Rattus norvegicus: one gene and its partners. The protein of the gene in region 1 interacts with the protein of each later gene in a pairwise test. Links are inferred from orthologs where the notes say so. Each region holds a gene or a part of one and is shown on either strand. Other genes may lie near its edges.

What was found.
Region 2: the proteins of Ccdc136 (region 1) and Fam107a interact in binary tests that used the Homo sapiens proteins (3 or more experiments, as listed by UniProt). The two-hybrid records come from large-scale screens. The link is inferred for Rattus norvegicus from reciprocal best matches to the Homo sapiens genes CCDC136 and FAM107A.
Region 3: the proteins of Ccdc136 (region 1) and Leng1 interact in binary tests that used the Homo sapiens proteins (3 or more experiments, as listed by UniProt). The two-hybrid records come from large-scale screens. The link is inferred for Rattus norvegicus from reciprocal best matches to the Homo sapiens genes CCDC136 and LENG1.

What each region holds. Positions count from the first base shown.
Region 1 is NC_086022.1:58,961,691-58,966,929, reverse strand, and holds the start of Ccdc136 (coiled-coil domain-containing protein 136), read right to left. Parts: upstream 3,735-5,239; 5' UTR 3,638-3,734; coding exon 3,580-3,637; intron 2,832-3,579; coding exon 2,724-2,831; intron 1,086-2,723; coding exon 831-1,085; intron 747-830; coding exon 672-746; intron 1-671. UniProt on the Homo sapiens protein: May play a role in acrosome formation in spermatogenesis and in fertilization.
Region 2 is NC_086033.1:19,044,322-19,049,695, reverse strand, and holds the start of Fam107a (actin-associated protein FAM107A), read right to left. Parts: upstream 3,116-5,374; 5' UTR 3,067-3,115; exon of another isoform or gene 2,915-3,066; intron 1-2,914. UniProt on the Homo sapiens protein: Stress-inducible actin-binding protein that plays a role in synaptic and cognitive functions by modulating actin filamentous (F-actin) dynamics. Mediates polymerization of globular actin to F-actin. Also binds to, stabilizes and bundles F-actin.
Region 3 is NC_086019.1:74,465,249-74,470,457, reverse strand, and holds the start of Leng1 (leukocyte receptor cluster member 1), read right to left. Parts: upstream 3,116-5,209; 5' UTR 3,076-3,115; coding exon 2,944-3,075; intron 1,705-2,943; coding exon 1,525-1,704; intron 854-1,524; coding exon 603-853; intron 1-602. Other genes in the region: Tmc4 (transmembrane channel-like protein 4), read right to left, coding at 3,582-3,650, 3,755-3,833, 4,494-4,649, 4,742-4,872, 5,167-5,209.

The DNA.
Region 1 (5,239 bases):
ATACACCCCTGGCCCTGGGCAGAAGAACAAAGTAAATAGGGATGGGGGGGGGGAGGCTGGGAAAGATAGGAAGGCAAGAGAGAGGAGGGCAGGATGGCCATGTAGATAGGTAAAGATGGGAAATTAAGAAAAAAGGAGAACACGGGGCAAGGAGAAGAGAAGGTATACTGGCTGGTTCTGTGTGTCAGCTTGACACAAGCTGGGGTTATCACAGAGAAAGGAGCCTCAGTTGAGGAAATGCCTCCATGAGACCCAGCTGTAAGGCATTTTCTCAACTAGTGATCAAGTGGGGCGGACCCAGCCCATTGTGGGTGGTGCCGTCCCTGGGCTGGTGGTCTTGGGTTCTATCAGAGAGCAACCTGAGCAAACCAGGGGAAGCAAGCCAGTAAGTAACATCCCTCCATGGCCTCTGTATCAGCTCCTGCTTCCTGACCTGCTTAAGTTCCGGTCCTGACTTCCTTTGGTGATGAACAGCAACACAGAAGTGTAAGCTGAATAAACCCTTTCCTCCCCAACTTACTTCTTGGTCCTGATGTTTGTGCAGGACTAGAAACCCTGACTAAGACAGAAGGGGCAAGGAAATAAAGAAAAGGAGAGAGGTAAGGTTCTGAGTTAGGTTTGTTTGACTAGCGTGGCCACTTCCCCTCTGTCTAGACTTGGGGGGCAGTTACCTTGGAGCTGCTGGATCTGTTTGGTGAATACTTCGGCCTGCTGGGCACTGGCCAGCCGCTCATCCTCCAGGAGCCCTGCAGTGAGAGGAACGTCTGGTTTGGAACCGGGGATACACACACCCTTTGGGCCCAAGACCCTGCCCTGTCACGGGTGCTCACCCTGAAGCTCCAGGCAGTCATCCTCATGCTGCCCAGCAAGCTCACGGGTCTCCTCCAGCTCTGCCACCAGCTGGAGCACCTGAGCCCTCAGCTCCTCCAGCTCTGTCTCTGTGAGGCTCAGGCCCCGATGCTTGCCCACTGACAGGGAGCCCAAACTGCCTTCTTTCTGTACTTGATCTTCTTCTTCAACCTCTTCCTCTTCTTCCTCTTCTTCCTCCTCCTCCTCCTCATACAGAGCTGGAAGTAACACCTCCCCTAGGAGAGACAATCATCCCACCACACAGTCAGTACCTGTTCCAGAACCCTGCACCTGGAGTGGTAACCCCAGGCCCTGGACAGCAGAATAGTGCCACCTGGTGTCCCCCCCCCCCCCGAGGTTCCCTGGGATAGGACCTAACTCATGGTCAGGCTCTGGTGGGTCAAATTTGGATGCACCTTTTCCAGCTTCCTGACACCTAATATTGACTATCTACTGCCTTTACAGCAGCCTCATGCAGGCTCAGCTACAAGAAGCTTGCTTGAGGACACCTAGCACTGGTCGTCTCAACTCTGAGTAGTGGGACAAGGAGTTTAGAAAGGATTCAGACATTCAGACACCAGCTGTTTATTTAGGCCAAATGGAGCAAGCTTGGGAGGAAAAAAAAAATCTAGGTGGCTTGCAAGGTATTAGAGCCTTTTCATAATAAGAAAACACCGGCCTGGCCTGTAGGTAGCAAAGGAAACATTAGGCGGAAATGACTTGGTGGAACCCTTTCAAATGTATGTTATCAAATATCTTCTTGAAATTTTCTACACCCGATGTTTCCGTGTTGGGTGCCACAAGGTTCATCCCTTGCCTGCTGACCAAAGTTGATTTTCAGAGTAAGTGTCAGGCTGAACTCGTGTATGAAAGAAAGTCAGCCATCTTAACACATTCTTCTAAATTACTCATTTATTTATTTAATGCATACAGGTGCCTGTGTGTGTGTCTGTCCCTGCGTGTGTGTCTGTCCATCATGTGAGTGCAGCGCCCTTGCAGGTCAGAAGAGAGTATTAGAGCCTCTAAGACTGGAGTCACAGACAACTGTGGGCTGCGATGTGGGTGCTGGGAACTGGTCAACTGCTAAGCCATCTCTCCACTCCTGCTGACACATTTGAAAAACTGATACTGGTCTTCATGTTCAGGCTCGTGAACACTTTTTTTTTTTTAACTGCAATGCAGTTCCTGTAAATAGCAACATCTTGTCTTGGTAGGGATTGCTTTGTTTTTAAATTCTAGATGTCTGGTCTTCCCTTTTCTAATGCCAACAGCACACAGTTAATCTGAGATCCCTTATGCGATCTAAGTCTCTAGGGAAGGCCTGTGCTGAACTATACAGGGGCCTGGGGACACTTCACAAGAAGACCTGGATACTGGGTTGGTACCACCTGCCCTGCTACACAGGAGTGCTGCTGGGAAATAGGCTTCATCGAGCTCTCTCCTAAGCACTTTCTTACTAAAGCTGCAGAGCTCTGTTCAGAGTTGACAGTGGCGGCATCGAAAAGACAGTTCACATGTCCATGTCCTGGCTTTTAAAATAAGAGACAGCTTGGGATCTGGGTCAACAGGCAGGGAGAAGAACAAGCCCCCTGCCGAAAGCCTGTTTCCAGGCTGGCTTCAGCAGGACCTCTTTCTGTCTGGCGGCTCCCCCAGGACACACAACCTGGTTAGCTGGGTGATTGGAGCCCCAAAGGGATGAGCCCAAACTTCCATCAATGCCTGAACCCAGGGGAGGCTTGGAGCTCAGCCACCAGGAAGGAGGGGCTTGAAATGAAGTAAGGGAAGGGCCCTGTCCTGGCTCAGAGCTCTGGGGTCAGGAAGGAAGGAGGAAGGGAGTTATGGAGTGATGGAAAAGCCTTTTTCAGAAAACTCACCCTCCATAGCTTGCATCCCGCGGCGCTCCAGGGACCCCCAGCGTTGGCCTTTCTTCCTCTCACAACCCTCAGATACCTCATAAGAGCCTAAAGTAGTTACTGTGGGTCCTGTGAGCAGGGAGAAAGTAGGCACTGTAGGTTTCGAGGGGAAAGAAAGGGACCTGCGTTCTTATATGGGAGCCCCGAAATTTGTCATCACACTGGAGAAGCCTGACTCACTCTGCCCAGCTCTGTGATTCTATTCCCTTAGCCACCTCCCATGCTCTGCCTATGGAGAAGACCCCAGCCCGGAGCTACCTAACATCAGCACCCCTGTTCCAGGCTGTTTCCGGCTCCTCTCCCTCGCCCAGACAGAAGAGGGTGAGTGTTTAGCTTGGGGCACAAGGAGAAGAGGGATAGGGTGGGAACTAGGAAAGAAGGTTTTGGGAGGGTCCTTTATAGCAAAGCAGAGTAGGGAGGGGCGGCCGGACCAGGAGAGAAGAGAGGGGGCTCTAAACTAGGCCGTTTCCTCAATCTCTCCCCTCCCCTCCTCTCCCTCACCAGACCTCGCCCACCCCACCCTCTCACGGTAGTCAAGAGCTTTGATGAACTAGAAGGGTGCAGGTTCTAGAGACAATCCCCTCGCCCCCCTCGTGAGCTGGAAGCACTGTTGGGCTGGAGAGACTGGATGGGGAGCGCTTGGGGAGTGACCGCTGGGAAGAGACATCCCAGGTCGAAAGATGGAGAGCAGTATCCGGTATCCGGTGGAGGCCAGGGTGGAGGAAGCCGACTCAGTACCAGGAGAACCTGGGGGTCAGAAGGAAGGAGAGACGTTGGGGGAAAGAGCATAGGGAGCTGAGGGAGAGGCGGCTCTGACCTGGGCCAGGGCAGCTCCAGCCCGCGGCTCCCGCGCCGGCCCCGCCGCCTGCCTCCATGGCCGCTCCCGTCGCTGCCGCCGCCTCCCGAGCAGAAGCCGCAGCCTCCGGGCCGGGGACCGGGAGCCCGGTGCGCAACGAAGAGAGAGGGCGGGCCGAGAGGGCGGGGCCTGGCCTGGCCACCTGACGCGAGTGCCCGCCTGCGGCCGCCCGGAAACCCTCCCCAGTGCCGGCTCCCAGACCCATCGGGGACCTGCAAAAGAGTCTCAGAGCAAGCACCCAAGTGCCCCAGGCTCGCCCGAGGCAGCTTCAGGTCTGCTGCGCCTGCAAAGCAGGCGTGGGCTACTGGATCTTGAAGATGCTCCCAAGGAGTGCTAGGATGGCTTGGTTCTGGCTGCAGAACCCACCCTGGGTCAGCCGTGCGTGGGGACCTCTCTGCGCTGGGGTATCAGGGCCTGGTCTTGCCGGGTGATAGAAGCCGGGGAGTTTTGGGTAGAGGGGTGGGGTGTTGAATAGACTGTTTCATGCAGATGCGCAGACACGCGCGCACACTTCCTTGGTCTCCAGGCTGGGCCAGCATCTCCATCCCGGCAGTCTACAGAGCCCATCCCCTCCGGGTGGCCTCGCGCACCCCAGAGCTATTGCAGAGCTGGCGGGTAGGGAAATTGAGACCTGGATGTGCCAACTACCAGGCGGCACATCACTGCTTTCCCCCGAATTCCCACCAAGCCAGAGGCCAAGGATCCACCCAGACTGTCTCTAAGTGTACCAAGATCGTCCTTTGAGCCACGCCCTCTGTGACCTGTGCCGTGTGAGCACCACTGATGTTCCCTGTAACAGGAGATATGGGAAACCATATCTTTTCATCTTTTCATCTATTTATTCAAGAGATGAACTTGATCTTGAGGCAGATCTGACATCTCAGGAGGAATGGGCTCCCCGAGTCCTAATCGTGGGGAGATTTCTAAACTGGGTACTCACACCAGTTCTTTCTCTTGTAGTCTCACTCCTAAAGTTTGGACCTGGATTGGCCTTGTTCGAACTCCCCAAGCTGCAAGGCTCTTAAGACTCCATGTTCCACAGGAATGAAGCACTTCTTTGCCTGCTGCACATGTCTAGTTTTTCAGTAATTTCAGCCTCGGGTTGAGAGTTACTCTCCAGACACGCCATCCCTTCCTTATTAGACACCCCTGTTATGCTCTTCTGACCCTCTGGGCAGCATCAGAGTACTGGCTGCCGTTAAGATTGGGAAGTACCCTAGCTATCTTTGTATCTTTTTTTTTTCTTTCCTTCGGAGCTGGGGACCTGGGGACCGAACCCAGGGCCTTGCGCTTCCTAGGCAAGCGCTCTACCACTGAGCTAAATCCCCAACCCCCTTTAAAATGTGTAGCCCAGGCTAGCCTCGAACTCGTGATCCTCCTGCCTCTGCCTCCTTCAGCAAATCCTACCGGTGTGCGCCACCACAACCGGCCATCTTTGTATCTTTATTATCAAAGTATCTGACTCTTGGAATAAATGAGTTGACATGAACCTTCCAACTACATTAATAATGCCTTCCTCATTAATCACAGATTTTAACTCATGGATTTAAACTCATGTTCCTATTAACAATGATGCCTGCCAGGCAGTGACGGCACACACTTTAATCCCAGCACCTGGGAG
Region 2 (5,374 bases), on another chromosome or scaffold:
CTATCCACCATCACAATAAATGCCTTGAAACCATGGACTACCTCTTCTTATGGGATCCACGGTGGCAAGCCATTGAGAATCCCTTCGCCTACAGAGCCAGTCACCTAATCTCCCATAGAAGACTTTCCTGCCCTCCCAGCTTCAGCCCTCTACCAAGCCCAAGCCTGATACCCAGGACAGCCAAAGACTTCCCAGCAGGACCAGTTGGAGCATCCCCCCTCCTTTTCCCCCTCTGCCCCTGGCTAGATCGGCCCCCACTCTGTTTCTGCAGCATCCCAGCGGTGCCTGGATGCCCAAGAGCCTAAGAACTGAAGGCTGCAGCGTCCTGTCCTCAGACGGTGCTTCCCTACCCTGGAGCAGTGTCCCGCAGCTTCCCACAGTCTAACACCCACCTGACGGGTCAAACTTCCCGAATCCTGCCTCCCAGAGCAGCCTGAGCCCTGTGACAGAGCAGAAGGACAGAAGTAGGCCCCCTACTCAATCCTACAGAGAATCATGGTGACTGAGGAGGTTCTGTTGGGCACAGAGCTCTGGGACCAGAAGGTTTTGGCTAAATGAGTGGTCTGTATGTCTCTAAGAGGGTCGAAGGGTCACAGGGATAAGAATACAGAAGAGAGACCGGGGCCTCTCATTCTTCACAGGTTCTGTTGGTAACCCAAAAGGTCCCAGGGTTCCTTCCTAAAGACTGAGTCTGGTTCTGGGTGTGCACAGACTGGTGGGAACAGTAGCTTCGATAGCAATCCCTGGTCTTTCCTGGGCAGTGAGGAGAGAGCCGGAGGAGAATGATACTCTTGCTACAGGGTGAAGTTTACACTGAGAACAGCTGCAGGAACCTGGTTACTGCACAAGATCCTTTCATCCCCCTCCCCTTTTTAGGAGGGTTTCACATATCCCCAGTTGGCCTCAAACTTGTTACATAGCCAAGGGTGACCTTGAACTCTTGATTGGCCTGCTTCCACCTCCCAAGGGCTAACACTATAGGCATAGCCACCATGTCCCATTTATGGGGTATCATCGATCCATCTCAGGGCTTTGTGCATGCTGGGTAAGTTCTTGACCAACTGGGCTGAATCCTTATGGTCTTCTTGTCACTTTCTGACTGCATTCCCTCTATCTTCAATGTTCTTATTGTGTTTCTGGTCTATCAGTTACAACACATGACACTGGGTCCACAAAGTGTTCAGGGATTAAAGCAAAAGAAACAATGTAACACATGATCTTAGCTTGTGTGGCCTCAAGCAAACAGCTCCTGCGCTCTCAGCCTCTGACCAGTGGAGATCATGGCCACCTCCCGTCCCCTCAGGTCATTAGAATGTGAGACCTTGTGGTGTGCACACTGTAGTTTGTAGACTACCTGGCTGAGTAGGCAGACTGTGAACCTCTTTCTTGTCCTGCATGTTTTGGAGTGAGCACGGGACTTGGTCTGACTCTCATGATTATCTTGAAGGCAACTCATTTTGTAGTTGAAGAAATCAGGGCTTATCAAGCTAAGGTACACGCCAAGTACTTAGCAAAGCCAGGATTGTTGGACTCCAAACCTAGTACTCTTTCTACCATAGAACTGTCTCCTAGGAATGGCATGTTTTTGACTCAACAGAACCAATTTACAGCCCTTTGCTCTCTCTCTCTCTGTATACTCAATAAACCCCTGTGAAGAGGAAGGCTGAGAACATGATGGCCAGAGAACCAGACAGTGAGAAACGCAAGCACTGCCCTGCTGCTTGAAGCAGCTTTTTCCTGTCAGGCCTGTGGCCAGGTTTCAACCCCCAGTTCCTCTAAACCTTTCTGGTTCAGCATCAGCAGGGGGGCTTTGAGAAGCACTGGCAAGAGAAGGAGAAACATTCAGAAAAATGACAAGCTGGCTGCCACATGTCCTGCTTGCTCTCTCCTCCCTGTGGGTGGTATGCATTTGTAGCTCAATGGCTGGCCAGTAACCTAAGAACGCATTTGGCAACAGCTCTAGGTCTCCCTGCAGACTCAGGTCAATCTTCTTCGTCTTGGAGCCACCTATCCATTTAGGCAAGAAGGCTCCAGACTACTTCAGGTCTTGGTCCCCTGGATCCGTTTCACCAGAGAAAAGAAAGGTTGGATTTGAAGGGTGAGGCCTATAGGGTCCATAGCAAGGCTGGGGATTGTGCCCTGCTGTTGAGCAGGAAGCAGCGTGAGTGGATGTCCCATACTGCTATCCTTGTGATCTGATGACAGCTGTTGCACCTGGCAGCTGGCTCAGGGAAAAATCACAGCAGGGGTTGCCAGACTTCACAGTGAGGAAGCCATCAGGACCCAAGCACCCAGAAACCCATGTGTGTGGGAGGACTGTTTCAAATTTAGAGCCCATCCCACTAATAGCAGCTTCCTAGTGACAGGCAATCCCCTGATCCCTGGATCCCTGATTTCTCTAGTCCCAGACTGGCCGTGTACCACGTGATGAAGCCAAGTCCATCGGCAAGGCGGGAATCACCCATAGCCTGCATTCTCAGTACAGGCTGAGTAATGAGCTATTCGTCTAGTTTCCGACTCAAAACTCTCAATAAACTGAGAAGGTGGGCAACCCCTTCTTAGGAACAGACCTCAGAGACGTCGTCTGATTTCTCCAGATCACATAGCCAGTGTGTGAGGTAGCCAGAATCCGAGCTGAGCTTTGGTACCCAAATCCAAGTTCTGTGCTTTTCTCATTGCATATAGAACCTGGACTATCTGCCGATTGTGTCTATCTGTCCTCTATTAAGTGAACCCTCCTTGCTGACCCTACATACCCCTACTGTGTGATGATGGATTTAAGAGAGGCTGTAGCAGATGTTAAATTCCTCTCAGTGTTTAGAAGTAAAAGGTCAACCAGACTGCCGGGTTGTAACTGAGAGCCTACTTAACCCTCTATCTCCCACCCCCACTTCACATCCCTGCCTCTTCTCACCTCAGTAAGGCAGGGTCCCAGTACCTACATTTTGAAGGGCTTAGTTGCTGGGACAGCTTGCTCCGATGCTCTTAGGTCATCTCCTTCCCACCACCTTCTCCTAGAACACACTCAGCCTAACAGATGTGAAGCAGAATAGATCAGAGTCTTACTTCTCTACAGGTCCGGGGCTGTGAGCTCCTTGGCAGTGTCTGGGCTGCGAGGTCCTCTGCAGGTTTCAGACTTAGGGAGTGCTAAGCCAGTCCCAGATGGCTGAGGCAGCCACCCCCAAAGGGCGGGCCTTAAACCCCCAAGATGGGAGGCAGTTTTGCATTCCCATTTATTCTGATAGCAATGAAAAAGAACTGTTGCTATAGAAACCGTTATTTTACTTGGTGAGTGGCCGTGTCCGAGACTCAGAACACCATGTCCAAGCCACCCTGATTGAGAGGCACCAATAAATACCCGTGTTGTCAGATTGATGAGGAATATGACTCACACCAAGCTTTGTTCTGAACAAGGCGGCTCCTGGCTTCTGAGGAGGAATTTCCCTTGTTTGTATGGGAGGGAATTCCAGCACTTCCCCAAAGGAGGGGAGGGGAACCACGCTTCCTGCTGCAGTGAGGGATTCTTTAGAACTTGGCTCTTGGATACTAGCAGGGAGAGAACTATACCCAGACAGTTCTTGGCAGCCCTGCAGGCTTAGGTGTAAGAAACATTGTGAAGTGAAGTGGTCATCTACAAATGTGTTGGGCACATGGACAGCCAGAGCATTTGGGAGGCAGAAGGAGGTAGATCTCTGTGTTCAAGGCCAGCATGGTCTACAGAGAGAGAGAGTTCCAGGATAGCCAGGACTACACAGAGAAACCCTATCTCAAACAAACAAACAAACAAACAAACAAACAAACTTCACACAATTAATTTCCACAGAAGAACCAGCAGGATGTAGTCCAGGAAAAGGGCAGCGGATAGATTTGTACCTAGCCCACTCTGATCCTAGTCCCTTCTGTACTTTGGCTTTCCTGTGTGTGTTGGCTGCGCGTGACCTCAATGAGATGGTGTTCATTAAAGCAGCCTTCAGAGAACTGTCATGTGCTAAAGGCAGAGCCCCAATGTGCATGCCTGTGCCTGGCCACAATGAGAGTGTGCGCAAAGAGAAGCTGTGGGCTTGGGCAGAACCCCAAAGCCAATCTAGGTGCTTGTAGATCAAAGGCCTTCTCTGCACCTCTGAACTAGCTACTGCTCGAGCCTTGGGCCATTCTGTCGTTTGGCATTATTCTCTGTCCCCCAACTGAGGAAACCAGCCTCTGCCAGTGAGACTAGGCCTGTACCCCAGTTTACTTTCTCATGGAACTTTGGTCGGTCAAGAGCGATGAGGTTCAGGTCACACACATCACAGGTAGGCAGACATATTCCACACGCAGTTTGAGTTCATTTTGGCCCTAGGATCTGTTCATGTAGTCAATATCTAATATGTATGTGTATATTTCCTGGCATGTTCTAAGTGGGCGTATGATGGGAAAGCAACAGAGAGAGACAGTACCCCTGTTCTCAGGGGATCCACATTCAGTGTGTGTGTGTGTGTGTGTGTGTGTGTGTGTGTGTGTGTGTGTGTGTGTGTGTGTGTGGTGTGCATGTGTGTGTAGTGTGTGTGTGTGACAGTAGATAAAAAGACATACAAGAAAATGTCAACCAGTGATGTATGACTGTAGAAAGGCTGAGTAAGGAAGGGCAGTGACTGGAAGCTTGGGAAAGGTGGGCGCAGACAAGGAGTCATTGCTTATGTGGGACAAATGTTTAGGGTGAGCACAGCTAGTGTCAAGGCTCTGGAGTGGGAATGAACTGGGAATGATAGAGGGAGGCCAGTAGAGCCAAGGTGGGGAAGGACGGAGATGGTGGAAGGGCCTGAGAAAGGGAGATGCAGGAGGGACCACTCTGAAGCCACAGAAACTTAAGAGCCACCCATTCTTGGGCATGAGAAATGCTCTAGGAATAACGTGTAGTACTCTATGTCTATTGCTCCCAAGTCTGCCTTTCTGGAAATCCCTGGAATAGTGGCCTCCCCCAGTTTCCCACCCTGGCTGCTCCATTTTACTCCTGGCCAAATAGGACGACAGAAGTCTCGTATGGGCTGGGGGTGTATCTTAACTGTAGAATGCTTGACTAGCATACAGGAAGCCTTGGGGTCTATTTCCGGCATTGCATAAAACTGGGTGTGGAGGTTCATACCTGTAATCAGACGATCCTCAAGTCCATCAGCTCCATAGCCAGTTCAAGACCAACCTGGGCCACATGGAATCTTATTTAAATTATTTGATTATTTATTATTTGATTATTAAATTTAATAATCAAACCAAGGACTTGTCAAATCGCCATTGCTATGCCTGCTCCCTTTATCTTATTGTACAAAGAAGCAGTTGGGCATGTCTTGGGGGGGGGGTTGGTGGCCCATCAGAACTGACCTTGGTGCCTTGTGACAGC
Region 3 (5,209 bases), on another chromosome or scaffold:
CTGAATGTGATTGGGCCACATTCTAATCGAAGCAGGAGGCAGAGATGGATCTCTGAGTACGAGACCAGCCTGGTTTTTACATAGATCTAGGACAGCCAGTGTAACATTGAAACTCTAAAAACAAACCATAAACCTGAGGGCCACAAAGATCACTTGGGAAGCAAAGGCCAGACAGAGTGACATAGTGATATCCTGTCCCAAAGGAAAAACTGAAGGGCTGGAGAGATGGTTCAGTGGTTAAGAGTACTGGCTGTTCTTTGCGACTTGGGTTTCATTCCCAGCAACCTATATGGTGATTCTCAATGCAACTGTATTCAGTTTCAGGGGACCCCAATGCCTTCTAGTCTAAAGGCATCGGCAATTACGTGGTACATAGACATGTAACAAGTACTCATTAAAATACACATTAAAAAATATATATATGCTGTATACAAGCTACTGTTCTTAGAATCCTTAAGTGTCTCCACAGAGGTCCCTAGACAGCATACCAAGAACCACTTCATCTTGCCTGACCTGTTTAGCCTTTCTGTGGTACCCTGGCTGGTGTGCTAGATCTTCACAAAGTCTCACTCTGCTCTACTGTGGGCCATGTTTATTCTTACTCTCTGGGCCGTTGTTTTGGAGGCCGTTCCTCTCTGGAAGGATGGCTTTCGCTGCTGTGCCTTTTCTTGCCCAGGTGCTTCTGCATCTCCCTCAAGGGGTCCAGTCGATTTTTGATCTTCTCATCTGGGCTTGGGCCTGGAGGGCAGCCTTTTTGCCCTGGGGGTAGCTGGTACCAGGGAGGTTGAGTTTGGGCCTCTGCTGCACTTTGGCCCAAGTATGTCAGAATACCTAGTGCTTTCTCTTGTCTCTCCTGCAGGGGCAAGAAAACAAAATAGTCTTTTCAGTCCCTCTGGGAGCCCTAGGTGTGGCAATAGAAAAACCCAGCGCCTGAGTTTCTAGAGACGGATTGGTAGGCAGACATTTAACAAGGGAAATTACAAGAACGTTCAGGAACCAGCTTTGCAAAGCATCAGGAGCTTATTTGCAGGAGGAAGAAAAGGAATGCAGTGGCCTGTGCAGTAATGGAAGATGGAAGAAGCTTAATTTGGGAACAGTCCACAGAAAAGCCAAGCAGAGGAGTGATTTTCAGTGGGAGACAGCACCTTCAAAGTTGGGTGAGGTGTAGGAGAGCCACAGTACAAGTCATAGTTTAAAAAGCACAATTGCTGTCTGGAGGTTTGTGCCTGTGATCCCAACACTTGGCCCAGGGGGCCAAGACAGGGGGATTAAAAACTGGAAGGCACCCTGGTCTATGTAGTTGTGATCTCCTCTCAAAATAAAATAGCTTAAGACTTTCTTTAGTCCCATGAAAAAGGTTTAGCCAGTTTAAGTGTTGTATAGCAATAACCAGCTTGTAGGTGATACCTCTCACTGCTAAATTTTCTATGCACTCATCTATCACCATATCCTAACAGTCACAGCCAGTCTCTACCCCACCCACCCATCCCCCCAGGATTCCACCAACAAATGAGGCCAGCTTACTTTTTCCTGTCGTTTCTCTTCCTCATGCTCTTTATTGCCTCTGGGCACTCCTTTTCCTTCTTCCAGCAGCTCCCGAAACAGGTCCACAGGGCCAGAACATGGAGCTCCCTGGTCTGCTGCTTCCAGCTCGGGCAGTGAGTTTCGGCCCCTGGCTTTCTTCCGTAGGAATTCCGTACGGGCCTATGAAGGGTTATAGGCAGTACATTCTGAGTCCAGAAGTGCTGAGGATATAAGAAGGGTCCATGGGCAGGGAGGGCAGTGGTAGCACACATCTTTGATCCCAGCACTCTGGTGGCAGAGGCAGGGGGATTTCTGAATTCAAGGTGAGCCTGTTCTATAGAGTGAGTTAGTTAGTTCCAGAACGACACAGAGAAACCCTGTCTTGAAAAATCAAAGGAAAAAAAGAGATGGGGGAATGGAGGTATTGGGAGCCAAAAAAGACACCACTTCTAACTTTGGGTGGAGAACCATTGTTTTTAAACAGTAAACTGGGCTATCAGAGATAGGTGGGAGAAGACCTCTGGCCTAAAACAGAAGACTTTCCAGCCTGGAGTAATAGGGTAGAGGTGGCTTGTTCAGCTATAGAGCCCCTGCTTAGTGTGTATAGTTCGAAGTTCAGTCCCCAGCACAAGTATGTGCATATTCCCAAACTTGTAGCCAAACATTGCTTTCTGGACAAAGGATCTGAACCCAAGGCATGGCTCCAGGTCACCATTCCAAATACAAACCGACTCCAGATAGAGTCTGAATTGCTCAGGATAGTCTCCAATTCACAATACTCCCCTCTCTGTAGCCTTAGTATCTGGGCGTAATTACAAGCTTCACCTTTTTTTTTTTTTTAAAATTTTAAAGGCCCACACTAATTCATGATCAGATTGGCAAAGAACTTAAGGGTAAACCAAACTGATCGAGTAACTATTAAAGTCTGTGTTAATGCGTGAGTGTACTTCAATACCAGCGTTCAGGTGGCACAGGCAAGCGGATCTCTGAGCTCGAGACCAGCCTAGTGTACACAGCCAGTTCCAGTACAGCAACAGAGACCCTGTTTCAAATAATGCTTCCAGATGTCCTTCGCTCTCTTGCTGAAGCCGTGGCACTCAAAGCAAGGTGACTGCACCCCTCTAAAATGTTCTAAGAGGAATTTCTCAAATCAAGAGCTCTGAAGGGAGCATACACACAGTGGGTGATCAGTATTAACTTGTGCGGGCAACCTATAAAGTAATCAGAATATTTGTCCAACTCTTCCTGTGTGCTAGCCTATGGCCCCTTCAACGCCGGTGGGGAAATCTAGGAAGGTTTTATGGAAGTTAGCACAGGATTTTCAGAGAAACATCGCCGAACACGCCAAACACACCGAGCCGCACCTGACACCAAGTGATAGGCAGGCCGGCCGCGCTTCTGGGCCTGCCCCAGGCTTACCTCTTGCTGAGCGAGCAGCACCCTCCGCTCACGCTCCTTCTCCTCCTCCCGGGCCTGGGCCTCGTCGCGTCGCACGCGAGCGACATTGTCCTTGTTCCGGACGTGCCAGCTCTTCTTGGGTAAGATATTCATGGCTCCAAAGCCGACCTCCGACTGTCAGGCCCACTCTTCAGCACTTCCGATTGGCTCGAGGATGCTCCCGCCCCATGGTTCCACCCTAGCCCGTGCATTGGTTCTGGGCCAATTGCCACACCCCCCTAAACCTTTGTTAGAGATGATTGGCTGAGAAGCTTTCCATCTCAGCCAATCCTAAGCATTTGTAACCTGACCGGTCGCTGCAGGAAGAGGCTGGCGAAGATCTGCCTTGCCTGTCTATCCCTTTATGCAGACACAACCAAGCCCTTCAAGCCGTCATGGACCTGGCCCCTCCCCAAACCTCGTCCACGCCACCAGAACGGGGTTTCAAAACGCTTAATGGACTTGGCTATTGTTTATTAACATGGTTCAATTGAGAGTGTGGCATTCGGTGGCAGAAGGCGTGGGGTTTGATTCCAGAGATGAGAGGGCCCCACTGCTTGGTATATGAAGTCAATGAAGTTTATGATGGGTGTGAGGGGCTGAAGGTCCAGCCAGACTAATCAGGAAACTCCATTCCTTGAGCTCAGAGCTACAGCTCGCTGGGCTAGGAAGACTTTATTTTGTACTTCCTGTGGGCAAAAAAAGAGTGAAAGTGAAGCACACCTCCTCACCAGTGTTCCCCTTTCATCTTCTCATAGAGAGAGCCCTGCCTGGGGAAATCAGCCTAGCTCACCGTCTCTATCTGGCGTTTGAGCTCAGAGATGAGGCGTCCATAACAGTTAGCCAGGGCTACTGTATACATCATCAGGATGCTAAAGAAAACAGGAATGAAAATCACTCTAGAAATCATCTTCATCATATGGCTCCTTAGAAACCAGGATCAGGAGGCTGGAGAGATGGCTCGTAACCCGCACATTAGATGCACTTCCAAAGGTCCCAGGTTCAACGCCCAGCACCCAACAGCCACATGGCAGCTTACGATTGTAACTCAAGTTCGTTACTTCACACAGACATATGTGTCCAAATACCAACACACATAAAACTAAATGAATAAGTAAATTAAAGAAATCACTATCAGGATTCCCAAATCCCTTAAAACCCTTCTTGAGACTCTGAATGCCACCCTTTATCCTCTCATCTCAGACCCAAGAGTACAGACCCTTTGGATGGGTCTGGGGATTTTGCTTAAACCAGAGGTTCAGGTTCCATACCACCTCCCCCTTCATCAAATCCATAAATCCATACCCTAGCCCTTCTTCCTCAGACCCAGGAGTCCAAACCCAGATGTCTTTTCTTAGATCCTATGCATTCGTACTGCAACTCTCCTGCTCTTGATCTAGGCATCCAGGCCAGCCCAACTTCTCCTCTGTTGTACATAGGCATCCAGTCCTCTCTAACACTCAGGTGCCCCGCACCCTACTCCTTTCTCTTTCAAACACTAAATCGCACACATTCAAACTCTGACCGCTCACCTAGAGACGATCAGAAGGGGTACAGTAAAAGCCTGGGTTCCCAGAAAGTAGAGAAAATTCTGGGCAGTCTGAGGGAGGCTCTCAATGGACTCAGGGATCTGGGCCCAAATGGACAACTTCCCTTGGAATGGGCCACACAGCTTAGAAGGTGGGATCCTGTAGGAGGAGACACATTGGATTCAATCAATTAGGGCCACAGTGAATACCGTGGGTGAACGCAAAGAGAAACAGACGTCTCTCATACTTACAGGAAGATACTGTAAAGCACAGGGACAGCAGAGATTGCCAGACCCACAAGGAGTACCAGGGGGAAAAAGAAATTTGCTGTGGATGCTCGGAAGGTTCGGGAAGCCGGTGAGTAGATGGAGAAGAGTGTGATCTGGTGGGGAGAGGTGAGGAGATGGAGATTTGAGACCAAGAATCAATCCTTTGCTTTTCCTTATTTCCTATCTTGGAGCTTTGGCCCCCTTTGGGGGCAGGGCCCAGATCTCTGAGCCACCTTTCGCTTAGTCTTAGGAAGTCAAACTATCCCATGTTCTTCTTCCTCTGAACCCAGGGCTCTGACTTCCAGCTCTCTCCTCCCTCTCTCCCTCCAGGCTGGTATCCATCCTCATTTCCCTAGCCCAGGAGCAACACCTGTCAGCTCAGACCCTAGAATACTCCTCAGACTCACCTTCTTCAGCCAAAAAAGTATGAGGAACTTGGCGGTGTTGATC